3 linked regions of the Xenopus tropicalis genome follow. The protein of the gene in region 1 interacts with the protein of each later gene in a pairwise test. Links are inferred from orthologs where the notes say so. Each region holds a gene or a part of one and is shown in the gene's direction. Other genes may lie near its edges.

The links.
Region 2: the proteins of sumo1 (region 1) and setx interact in a two-hybrid assay, tested with the Homo sapiens proteins (2 studies listed by BioGRID and IntAct). The link is inferred for Xenopus tropicalis from reciprocal best matches to the Homo sapiens genes SUMO1 and SETX.
Region 3: the proteins of sumo1 (region 1) and etv6 interact in a two-hybrid assay, tested with the Homo sapiens proteins (2 studies listed by BioGRID). The link is inferred for Xenopus tropicalis from reciprocal best matches to the Homo sapiens genes SUMO1 and ETV6.

The regions. Positions count from the first base shown.
Region 1 is NC_030685.2:52,313,296-52,317,280, reverse strand, and holds the start of sumo1 (small ubiquitin-related modifier 1 precursor), read left to right. Parts: upstream 1-1,185; 5' UTR 1,186-1,289; coding exon 1,290-1,301; intron 1,302-3,985. UniProt on the Homo sapiens protein: Ubiquitin-like protein that can be covalently attached to proteins as a monomer or a lysine-linked polymer.
Region 2 is NC_030684.2:11,767,689-11,771,735, forward strand, and holds the start of setx (probable helicase senataxin), read left to right. Parts: upstream 1-1,247; 5' UTR 1,248-1,485; intron 1,486-1,633; exon of another isoform or gene 1,634-1,750; intron 1,751-4,047. UniProt on the Homo sapiens protein: Probable RNA/DNA helicase involved in diverse aspects of RNA metabolism and genomic integrity.
Region 3 is NC_030679.2:8,142,645-8,146,858, forward strand, and holds the start of etv6 (transcription factor ETV6), read left to right. Parts: upstream 1-1,414; 5' UTR 1,415-1,606; coding exon 1,607-1,633; intron 1,634-4,214. UniProt on the Homo sapiens protein: Transcriptional repressor; binds to the DNA sequence 5'-CCGGAAGT-3'. Plays a role in hematopoiesis and malignant transformation.

The DNA.
Region 1 (3,985 bases):
CTATAATATTTTAATCAATCATTAAATCAATACAAAAAGATACAAGTCATAAGTTAAAAGATACAATAGGATATAGTGATAATCAAAAACAGTTCGTTAAAACTAAAATGTTGGCCCTATTAGTTCATTAAAAAAGTGAACTAGGATAAATGAGGATGGTACAATAAATACGTGCATAAATAGTCATTTAAAAAGCTAAACGTATTTATTGTACCATCCTCATTTATCCTAGTTCACTTTTTTAATGAACTAATAGGGCCAACAATTTAGTTTTAACGAACTGTTTTTGATTATCACTATATCCTATTGTATCTTTTAACTTATGACTTGTATCTTTTTGTATTGATTTAATGATTAATTAAAATATTATAGAATTTTTACACTTGGTGGTATATTTTTTTAGCGCTAACTCCTTGTTATAATATTTATATATTCACTGTGAGGATTAGTTTGGAGGAAGGAGGCTATTTATGATATTCTATTCACTATTTGGGTAAGAGGATTGTTGTTGGGTAATTTAATTTGTTTTTTAGAATAATATTAGTCTTTCACGAACTACACATAAATTTATTAGAAGCGCGGGTAAGGTTTATTCACACAATTTTGATAATTATGTCTATTCTCCACCCACCCTATGCCTCGGTATCTGTTATTTAGTCTCTTCCCAATGTGTCCTCTAATATAGAGGCATCAGGGGCTCTCAAGGGATCAGATTGACAAGATAAGATAACCAATTTTTTTTTCATATAAGCAATTGTCTGTAATTTGGCTCATTCATTTAACCAGTTTATATAAACATTTGTGGTCAATTTCAATCATGCGACGCAACCAAAAAGGTTAAGAATCACCTACTAAAACGTCAAAAGCCACGTAAAGCCAGGTAAAGCCAATCTACTATGTAACGGGGCCTTTTAATGATGTGAGGCTGGCAGTGCCAAAGCCATTAGACGCCTACTATTAATGCTCGGCTTTGGAGAGGTTAATGCTCTATACAGAAAAAACACTGGATATCAATGGTTAAAGGCTGACGTTCGCATTACAATATGGACACAAAAGCGCCACCTAGTGCTCAGCGTCTGTGCAAGCGCATACCCCTACCATTTGCCGCAAGCCGCAGCAGTGCGCGTCAGCAAAATGTGGGCGGTGCCGCATGTATCGGAAATGAGGTCATTCCCAAGAACCGGAACACCTTCCTTGTCTGGTTCTCTTGTGCTGTTATTGTGCCCGGAGGAAGGAAAAGCGTAGAGCGGTCCAGTGTAGCGAACCGATACCGGCCGAGAGCAGTTAGCATGTCTGATCAGGTGAGACACTTTTGTGGAGTGGGCGGGAGAACGAGAGAAAGTCTCTGGGACGTGTGTGTCTTGTTTTGTGTGTCTGGAGACCTGCTTGTAGATGTAAACAAGTAGGTCTCATGGCTACACATTAATATGCAGCTAAAGTAGTACATGCGGCCCATAACCAAGGGCGGCAGCTAAGTCATTTACTTTCATTTTATACGACACTTAGACTATTAGAGCTGGTTGCTATGGGTTTCTGCTGCTGTGCACTTTTGCTGGATAAACTGCTCTATAGGACCCACACCCCGTTGTGTGTCGTGTAATTTGCTTTATGTCTTATTGTCCAGTATGTGTATCTTCTCCTGTAGATGTTATTATCTGTGAGTAATTGCCCAGTGGTGGTTGGCGAAGTGAGAGGCCTAACAGGAAAGCCAGAGATATATTGGCCCATATAGTTATTTGACCTATATAAAGTATATATTAACCTAACAAGTTTCAGCAGCTTTAGCCTTATGGGGTCTCACACAGCATTGATTTGTTACAGTAGGGTAAATCTGTTAGCCTGGAAGAGCTCAAAGCATTTCAGAACTATCAGGTACATAAATTAAGTCTATTTATGAGCATCCACTAAGTGTTTGTAGATACATTATTATGTTTGGTTGAAAATATAACAATCGCGTTTAACCCTTCCAAACAAACACCGCTGCACACGTATACACATGTTAATTTAATTGTAGTGGTAATTCCCATTACCCAGGGGAGGTATCATGTTAAGCTGTGTGTAGGTATGTGGGAGTTAACGATTGATCTCTTGTAGTACACTCTGCTTGTTTATATTGTATGTAATGTTCAAGCACATCTTGTTTTCTTGCATGACTTTCATAGTTTAGGATCCCAATCTTATCTTTAATGCAGCCACCTAAAGGGTGACGGTTTAAACATTCAAGTGGACTACAGGCCAAAATGATTAGATCCCTGTGATGTTGGGCAGTACCAGCTAGTCCTGTCACTTCAAACTTTGCTGATGCCGCATTCATGTGGGCATGGGGACCACTGGGAGCCCCAAATTTCTGTCTGGCCCAATTAAGTGCACTTTCAATGGTGCGACGGATTAAATACCAGTGATGCACGCAGATGTTTCTGTTGAAAGCTGTTTTTCCCATTATTGGTATTTATTGCCTTACATTTAGGGCAACATTGCGTACATGCATTTGTGTCAAATGTATATCACTCTGTTATTTTGTATCTCAGTCTGTGGGTATGTGTGAACAAGTATTCCCATTTCATCATACACCTCTAAAATAGTGTCTGAAAAGTTGCTTTTTGTACAGCTTTACTGAAAAAAAATTTAAATACTTTGCTAGCACCATTGAGCAATTCCATTCACTGCTGGGTGCTTTTCCAAGATGTGCAGAAGAGTTAGTAGGGCTCCTAAATTATCTCTGCAAGTGTAATTTCAGTCTCTAACTTCCGCGCAGTTAGTTGTGTGTAAAACCACTTTCATTTGAGGTACGTAAGTGAAAATGCGCTTCTTAAAGGACAAGGAAAGTCGAAATCTATTAAGCACACTATTAAATAGTACTACTATTGCTGTGTAAAAACGCTATATTTCTGGCTTGCCCAATGAAATATTTACAGAGATACACATACTAGAACTTACATACTTGTTTCAGTGAACGGCGCCGCCATCTTGTCCAGCATGTCTGTATGGGCTATTGCTGAAAAGCACAAGCCAGCCCCCCTCCGATCCCCTCACCTGCCACAAACCCTCCACCGCTCCCCGCTTCTGCCACAACCCCCCCCCGCTTCTGCCACAACCCCCCCCCCGCTTCTGCCACAACCCCCCCCCGCTCCTGCCACAACCCCCCCCGCTCCTGCCACAACCCCCCCCTGCTCCTGCCACAACCCCCCCCTGCTCCTGCCACAACCCCCCCCTGCTCCTGCCACAACCCCCCCCCGCTCCTGCCACAACCCCCCCCCCCCTGCTCCTGTCACAAACCCTCCGCCGCTTCCCACTCCTGCCACAAACCCCCCGCCGCTCCTCCCACCTGCCGGCTCTGCATGTCACAAATGCAGATGCATCACTGCATATCAACTCCCCCGGCTCCCCGCTCCTGCCACAAACCCTCTGCCGCTCCCCCCACCTGCCAGGTCTGAATGTCACAGAGCAGAGTTCTCCTGTCGGCTGCGTCGCCATGGCAACCAGACGCTCCTGCTGTGTGCGCATGCGCTGCCTACAGTCCCAAGTTGCCAAGTCTGGGCAGGAGCGTTGCATTATGGGAATCTTCTCTACCCTGCTCAGCGTTTTTTTTTCCTGTTTGGCTTCTGATCTTCTGAACAGGTGAAGTATGGGGAGACTTAAGGGCACTATTGAGTCAACTGAAGGTATGCCTGCAGTTTGGGATTAACTCTTTATTAGCCTTTCCTTCTCCTTTAAACTTTAATGTAGGTGTGCTTGGCACAGCTCAGTCCTTCCTGTCTTGTGAACTAAGGCACAACACAATTGCACCAAGCACATTGACTCTTGCAACTGCAAAGATGCTGGAATTCTGGGAAAAATATTGCATTGTGGAAAAAACTAGGCGATTGCAGTTAAAATTGCACATGCAGATGTATAGGTACCCTGGTGTCTCATCAGTTTTCATTGTAGGATGTAAATCAATTGGCAGCTAGGCCGAGTTTGTGAAAGGCCACAAAGACCTTCCCTA
Region 2 (4,047 bases), on another chromosome or scaffold:
AGTAGAAAGTAACAGTACAGTCACATACCCTATAGAGCAGGGAGCAGGGGGTAGAACTGCCCCACATCCCAGTAGAAAGTAACAGTACAATCACATACCCTATAGAGCAGGGAGCAGGGGGTAGAACTGCCCCACATCCCAGTAGAAAGTAACAGTACAATCACATACCCTATAGAGCAGGGGGTAGAACTGCCCCACATCCCAGTAGAAAGTAACAGTACAATCACATACCCTATAGAGCAGGGAGCAGGGGGTAGAACTGCCCCACATCCCAGTAGAAAGTAACAGTACAATCACATACCCTATAGAGCAGGGAGCAGGGGGTAGAACTGCCCCACATCCCAGTAGAAAGTAACAGTACAGTCACATACCCTATAGAGCAGGGGGTAGAACTGCCCCACATCCCAGTAGAAAGTAACAGTACAGTCACATACCCTATAGAGCAGGGGGTAGAACTGCCCCACATCCCAGTAGAAAGTAACAGTACAATCACATACCCTATAGAGCAGGGGGTAGAACTGCCCCACATCCCAGTAGAAAGTAACAGTACAGTCACATACCCTATAGAGCAGGGGGTAGAACTGCCCCACATCCCAGTAGAAAGTAACAGTACAGTCACATACCCTATAGAGCAGGGAGCAGGGGGTAGAACTGCCCCACATCCCAGTAGAAAGTAACAGTACAGTCACATACCCTATAGAGCAGGGGGTAGAACTGCCCCACATCCCAGTAGAAAGTAACAGTACAATCACATACCCTATAGAGCAGGGAGCAGGGGGTAGAACTGCCCCACATCCCAGTAGAAAGTAACAGTACAATCACATACCCTATAGAGCAGGGAGCAGGGGGTAGAACTGCCCCACATCCCAGTAGAAAGTAACAGTACAATCACATACCCTATAGAGCAGGGAGCAGATTGCAGAACAGACAGGTTGAGCCTGAAAAAGCAAAAAAGAATTCAAAACAGAACCTCTGTCTATACTGCCCAATTGCATGCTGGGTATTGTAGTTTTATATTAATCCTAGCTGTAGGCTAATTGTTACAGACAAACTACATTACCCAGCATGCAGTGGAGCAGGGGAAAAAAAACTTTGGTTAGTTTCCAAACTACAAACCCGCCAAGGCTCCAAAAAAATAGACCAAAACTGTTCCTTGGCGGGTTTGTACTTTGGAAACTCGCCAGGGCATTAAATTAGTGGCCCAATGTGGCGGGAAACCCGCCTACCTGCCAACCTGGCCACCCTGGGCAGCATGTGATAGGGGCACAAAGTGATGCGAGTAAACATTGCGTGGCCTGGAACGTCACTTCCACATGGGCGGCGCTTGTAAGGGCCAAGGAGGAGTGAGGGGAGCCGTATAAATAAGTTGGGCAAATCCCCGGTGTGACAGAATGCAGTAGGCCTCAGGGGAAGCCCGGTGAGAAGAAGCGGCGGCAAATGGAATGGCGGGAAAGGGCTGACAGGCAGAAGGCGGACACGGGCACGGTAAGGGGGAGGCGGGGGCTCCTGGCAGAAAGCGCCAATGGGTTTCCCTGCCACGCATTGTGGCCCAGGGGCACTGGGGCTGCGGCTGTTATTGGGCTGCCCTTATGTGCCATGTGGTAAAATAGCTCTGCAATGTCTTCCTGCTGCATTGGCTTCTGGCTCTACTGATAGTACAAGGCAGGGCTGGGTGCTACAGGGGGAATGGAGGAGCTGGCAGCAGCACATGTTGCTGAGTACCCGGCATTTGGAGCTGGCTATTGCCAAGGTAAAGTAATGGTTTGGGTGCTGCCTACAGGAGCTGGGTGCTGCCTACAGGAGCTGGGTGCTGCCTACAGGAGCTGGGTGCTGCCTACAGGAGCTGGGTGCTGCCTACAGGAGCTGGGTGCTGCCTACAGGAGCTGGGTGCTGCCTACAGGAGCTGCTGCTGCGATAGGCAGAGTCAAGAGCTGGGTGCTGCAGGGGGGGGGGGGGAGAGCCAAGAGCTGGGTGCTGCAGGGGGGGGGGAGAGCCAAGAGCTGGGTGCTGCAGGGGGGGGGGGAGAGCCAAGAGCTGGGTGCTGCAGGGGGGGGGGGAAGAGCCAAGAGCTGGGTGCTGCAGGGGGGGGGGGGGGGGGGAAGAGCCAAGAGCTGGGTGCTGCAGGGGGGGGGGGGAAGAGCCAAGAGCTGGGTGCTGCAGGGGGGGGGAAGAGCCAAGAGCTGGGTGCTGCAGGGGGGGGGGAAGAGCCAAGAGCTGGGTGCTGCAGGGGGGGGGGGGGGGAAGAGCCAAGAGCTTGGTGCTGCAGGGGGGGGGGGGAAGAGCCAAGAGCTGGGTGCTGCAGGGGGGGGGGGGGAGAGCCAAGAGATGGGTGCTGACATGTGGAGGTAACGATCTAAGTAATACCAAACATGGACAGGATCTGGGTGCTGCCAGGCAGTGGGGCTGCATCTGGGTGCTGCCAAAGGGAGATATTGTGATGAACTAGCAGTGGATGAGGCAGGCACTAGGTACTGCCAGGCAGTGAGTGGCAAGTGCTGGGTGCTGCCACAGAGGGAGTGTCAGGGGCTTGGTGCTGCTTCATGAAGGCACAGAAGTACTGGCAGTTGGATCTATGGGTTCTGGGCACTGCCGCGGAGTGAGGGGCAGGAGCTGTCACATGAAGACACAGAAGTACTGGCAGTTGGATCTACAGGAGCTGGGTGATGCTGAGGTCGGCAGGTGCTGGGCGCTGCCATGGAGTGAGGGGCAGGCGCTGGGTGCTGCCACATGAAGACACGGAAGTACTAGCAGTTGGATCTATAGGAGCTGGGTGATGCTGAGGTCGACATGCTAGATGCTGCAGTGGGGAGAACCACCAGGTGGATTCATCTAAGTGAATGGGCAGCAGCTGGTTGCTCCTAAGTGGCAGGAAGGATCTTGGTTGTGTGAAACGTAGACAGCCATTTGATGCAAAGTGAAAGTATAGTAGCTGTCTTTTTGCCTCGGGGAGGAACTGGGTGCTGCCTCCGGAAATTAGTGCGATACTAAAGGTAGACAGAAGCTAAATGCTGCAATGGGAAGTGGGAAGAGTCGGGGCTTGGTGATGTCGAGGGACCTATTTACTGGCAATTGGATCTACCGGGTGCTGCCAAGTGAGGCAGGAGCTGAATGCAAGTAAGGGGTGGCATGAGCTGTGTGCTGCCATAGTGACTGAAGGATCTCGGCTGTGCCAAAGGTAGACTGGAGCTAGAAAATGGGTGAGGCAGGAGCCAGGTGTTGCTGGAGGGTGGAGTGAGGAAGAAGCCAGGGGCTGCCAAGGAGGGAGAAGCTGCTAGAAAACTTTCCAAAGAGAGTTGCTGTCCGAATGATGGAGAAAGTAGGTTCTGTAGCAAGTGGCATAATGGGATTGGCTAGGAGGAGTTAAAAAAAGGGATGCCTGAGCTTGAAGCTACATTGTTTGGCCAGGAGAACATCTGTACAGTATGCCTCAGGATGCCTCTTGTGCAACCATTTATGTGACACCTGTTGTGGAATCGACGTAAGTGTGAGCGCGGTCTATTTTTCCAAATGAATGCTCCGAGCAGAGCACAGTATTGCTTGACCTTAAATTCCCACTTGTTACAAAACATTGTACCCAGATTTCTGGTTATCATAACAACCTTCATCAGCTCTCTGACAGAAAAGTAGACAACAGGAAGCAGTGGTTTTGTAACACAGGAAATCTGAACACACTAAAAGGCAGAAAACATTGCATGAAGCATTCTTTGCTATGGAAAAGAAGAGGTACGTCATTTATATTTGCAAACCATCCAGATTTAGTGTCTACTAGAAATATGAGAGTCTATAGCCTGGTAACACAGAACACTCCCAATAACGTGGGAGCAAAGTATTCAACCAGAGGTTTCTACAAAGATGTAATGTCACCCTAAAGAAATTTCCAGAAGAGATGATTAGTCAAAGAATGTCAGTTTCTCAGGCTTTTGGACTCCATAGAATAACCGTGAAGAGAACATTATATCAAATCTTGCCTTGGCTGGCCTACCAAAGTAACTGCAAGGGTGCAGAGACCTCTCCAAGGGGTCGCAGAACATCCAAGAAGACTGATGG
Region 3 (4,214 bases), on another chromosome or scaffold:
AGGGGCAAATCCCTGTACCTTTCAGCCCCTGAGAACTGATAGAGCTCAGTATATATTATATATATATATTTAGATGTTAAGGATCCTTCTCTGTGCCCCTATATTGGCTTCTCTATGGTACTCTGTCCTCCAGTGTCCCCCCCCCCCCCCATGTCCCTCAACTCCCTGCCCCCCTCCCCCTCTCTGCTCACTTTCCTTCCTAATTCTTCCTGCATTTACTCATTACCCCTCCAACCTGCCCTTCCTCCCCTGCCCCTGCCCCTGCCCTTTCTCCCCTGCCCCTTCCCAACCCTCCTGCCCCTGCTCTTCCCCCTCTGCCCCTTCCCAACCCCCCTGCCCTTTCTCCCCTGCCCCTTCCCAATACCCCTCCCCTTCCCAACCCCCCTGCCCCTGCTCTTCCTCCCCTGCCCCTTCCCAACCCCCCTGCCTTTCCTCCCCTGCCCCTTCCCAACCCCCCTGCCCCTGCTCTTCCTCCCCTGCCCCTTCCCAACCCCCCTGCCCCTGCTCTTCCCCCTCTGTCCCTTCCCAACCCCCCTGCCCTTCCTCCCCTGCCCCTTCCCAACCCCCCTGCCCCTGCTCTTCCTCCCCTGCCCCTTCCCAACCCCCCTGCTCTTCCCCCTCTGCCCCTTCCCAACCCCCCTGCCCTTTCTCCCCTGCCCCTTCCCAATACCCCTCCCCTGCCCTTCCCAATCCACCTGCCCTTCCTTCCCTGCCCTTTCTCCCCTGCCCCTCCTCCTCTGCCCCTTCCCAATCCCCCTGCCCTTCCTTCCCTGTCTCTGCCCAACCCCCCTGCCCTTCCTCCCCTGCCCAACCCCCCTGCCCTTCCTCCCCTGCCCATCCCCCCTGCCCTTCCTCCCCTGCCCTCCTTCCCAATCTCCCTGCCCCTGCCCCTTCCTCCCCTGCCCAACCCCCCTGCCCTTCCTCCCCTGCTCATCCCCCCTGCCCTTCCTGCCCTCCTTCCCAATCCCCCTGCCCAACCCCCCTGCCCTTCCTCCCCTGCTCATCCCCCCTGCCCTTCCTGCCCTCCTTCCCAATCCCCCTGCCCCTTCCTTCCCAATCCCCCTAACCTTCCTCCTCTGCCCCTTTGGTTTTTTTTGTTTTTATTTTTTTGTTTCTCACTTCCTCCATCTCCCCCCCCCCAGCCCTTCCCGCCCTTCCCCCTCCCCTCCCCCACTTGCTTTCTTTTCTCTCCCAGGCATTTCCCTGTATGGGCTCGGGCTGCTTCCTGGTGCTACTGTCCCTTTAAGAGGCAGTGCTGAGTGCTGGGAATTCACGTCAGATTCAGGACTTGCACACTTTAAGATCAATGAGCCGGAGGGAGGAAGGGGGGAGACTCACTTCTGCCTGTAGTTTCTCTCTTCCAGGAAGGAAACCAGAGGAAAGAAATCCCCCCAGAGCGGCAGGGGCAGCAGTTCCCATCAGCCCCAAGCAACAGGATTGCCCTGCTGGGAGAAGTGCAAGGAGAGCCCCCCTGAAGCCCCAGCTGCACCCCTGGACTACAATGTGCTAAGTTTTTGTTTCCCAGAGGGGGAAGGGGGCGCCCCCCCTCGCTGCAACCCCCCCGACCCCCCTTTATCCTTAAAAAACGACTCTCTGTTTCCTGGAAATGTCTTCAGCTCAGTGTTACATTAAGGTGAGTGTCTCTGTCTCTTCCATATCCCTTCCCAGCAGCCTTAGTGCCCCTTCCTTACCCCTTCCCAGCAGCCTTAGTACCCCTTCCCAGCAGCCTTAGTGCCCCTTCCTTACCCCTTCCCAGCAGCCTTAGTGCCCCTTCCTTACCCCTTCCCAGCAGCCTTAGTGCCCCTTCCTTACCCCTTCCCAGCAGCCTTAGTGCCCCTTCCCAGCAGCCTTAGTGCCCCTTCCCAGCAGCCTTAGTGCCCCTTCCTTACCCCTTCCCAGCAGCCTTAGTGCCCCTTCCTTACCCCTTCCCAGCAGCCTTAGTGCCCCTTCCCAGCAGCCTTAGTGCCCCTTCCCAGCAGCCTTAGTGCCCCTTCCGTGCCCCTTCCCAGCAGCCTTAGTACCCCTTCCCAGCAGCCTTAGTGCCCCTTCCTTACCCCTTCCCAGCAGCCTTAGTGCCCCTTCCCAGCAGCCTTAGTGCCTCTTCCTTACCCCTTCCCAGCAGCCTTAGTGCCCCTTCCTTACCCCTTCCCAGCAGCCTTAGTGCCCTTTCCCAGCAGCCTTAGTGCCCCTTCCCAGCAGCCTTAGTACTCCTTCCCAGCAGCCTTAGTGCCCCTTCCTTACTCCTTCCCAGCAGCCTTAGTGCCCCTTCCTTACCCCTTCCCAGCAGCCTTAATGCCCCTTCCCAGCAGCCTTAGTACTCCTTCCCAGCAGCCTTAGTACCCCTACCCAGCAGCCTTAGTGCCCCTTCCTGCCCCGGAACCCCTGCAGGTTGGGAAGCCTTTCCCCCCACACGTTGCTATGGGCTCAATGCTGAGGCTTCGCTGCTCTGACAGATACAATCTATCTCCTATTCTCTTATTTACCCCGCACTTCTCAGAAACTTTTCCCATGCTGCCCCTATGTACTATTCCTATGATCGCTGCATTATTGTGAGTAAAGCTGCTCATTCGCTGAAGTAGTAAGTGCAGTGCTGGGTTTCCCGGCACAGATGGTCTCTATTTTACCCCGAGGATTCTGTATATCTATTTACTGAGTATTTTTAATATGTATTTTTGTACAAGTTTACCCTTAAGGAAGGGGGTCATTACTGTTAAGGGGAGCTTCACCTAAATACTTGCTTAATGAAAGAATATAGACAGCAGACGGAATGTGCTTTTAATGGTAATTACTGCCATTTCAAACCATAAATATAGGGGAAAGTTAGGGGGGGACCCCTGTAGCTAATCTGATTTTCATAGGAGACAGGAAGTAATGGTTTGGGGCCTTTGTGTTACAGGCCTAACCGGTAATAGAACATATTACAGGTATGGGATCTCTTATCCGGAAACCGGTTATCCAGAAAGTTCTGAATTACGGAAAGGCCATCTCCCATAGACTCCATTATAAGTAAATCTAATTTTTTAAAATGATATCCTTTTTCTCAGTAATAATAAAACAGTACCTGTACTTGATCCCAACTAAGATATAATTACCCCTTATTGGGGCAGAACAGCCCTATTGGGTTTATTTCATGGTTAAATGATTCCCTTTTCTCTGTAATAATAAAACAGTACCTGTACTTGATCCCAACTAAGATATAATTACCCCTTATTGGGGGCAGAACAGCCCTATTGGGTTTATTTAATGGTTAAATGATTCCCTTTTCTCTGTAATAATAAAACAGTACCTGTACTTGATCCCAACTAAGATATAATTACCCCTTATTGGGGGCAGAACAGCCCTATTGGGTTTATTTAATGGTTAAATGATGTTTAGCAGACTTAAGTTATGGAGATCCAAGTTATGGAAAGATCCCTTATTTGGAAAACCCCAGGTCCCGAGCATTCTGGATAACAGGTCCCATACCTTGTTAGAGGTGTCTAATCCCAAGAGCTTGCAATTTAAAAAAAAAGTGTTATTGTTAATCTGACAAGGGGGGGCTATATCCCTTGAAACAATGGCATAATTAGAAGTGACTAAAGCCCAACAATAAAATAAATTTCAAAGCCACACTCCAGGGCCGACAGCAGTTGCAGTATCTGCTTCCTGAACTACATCTCCCAGCATCCCCTGCAGAACCAAGGGTGTTGTTCTCTTACTATAAATGGCGGGATATGTGATTAGATTTGTACCCTGAAAGAGTTAACCCCATAGAGTGTTTATGTCATGGGGAAAGAGAAGACTATTTCCACCTCTATTGTGTAAGTGTAATTTCTCTCTCTCTCTTGGCTGCCGCTTTAAGGAAGAAATTTCCATTTCCTGGTTAAAAATAAGTGTTGGCACCACGTGTGCCCGCTCTTCCTCCTGCTTCTGTGCCCACGGTGCCCTGGGATAATAAGGCTGGCACGGGGGGGGGAATTGCAGGTGTCTGGTTCATAGCAGCAGTAGCGTTAGGGTAGGGTCTAAAGGGGCATTTGTCCACCCTGTGGCGCAGGGGATGATGGGAGTTGTAGTTCTGCAATAGATGGATGGCTGCAGGTTGTACGTCCCTGGATTACATTTTTTTCCCCTTAGACTGTGGCCCCATATTCTCCACAGTTAACTTATCAGGGGCCCTTTTTGCTGTGAGCAGCAGTGTACCTAGAGATTCACTGATATGTATAGGCCAAGGGCTA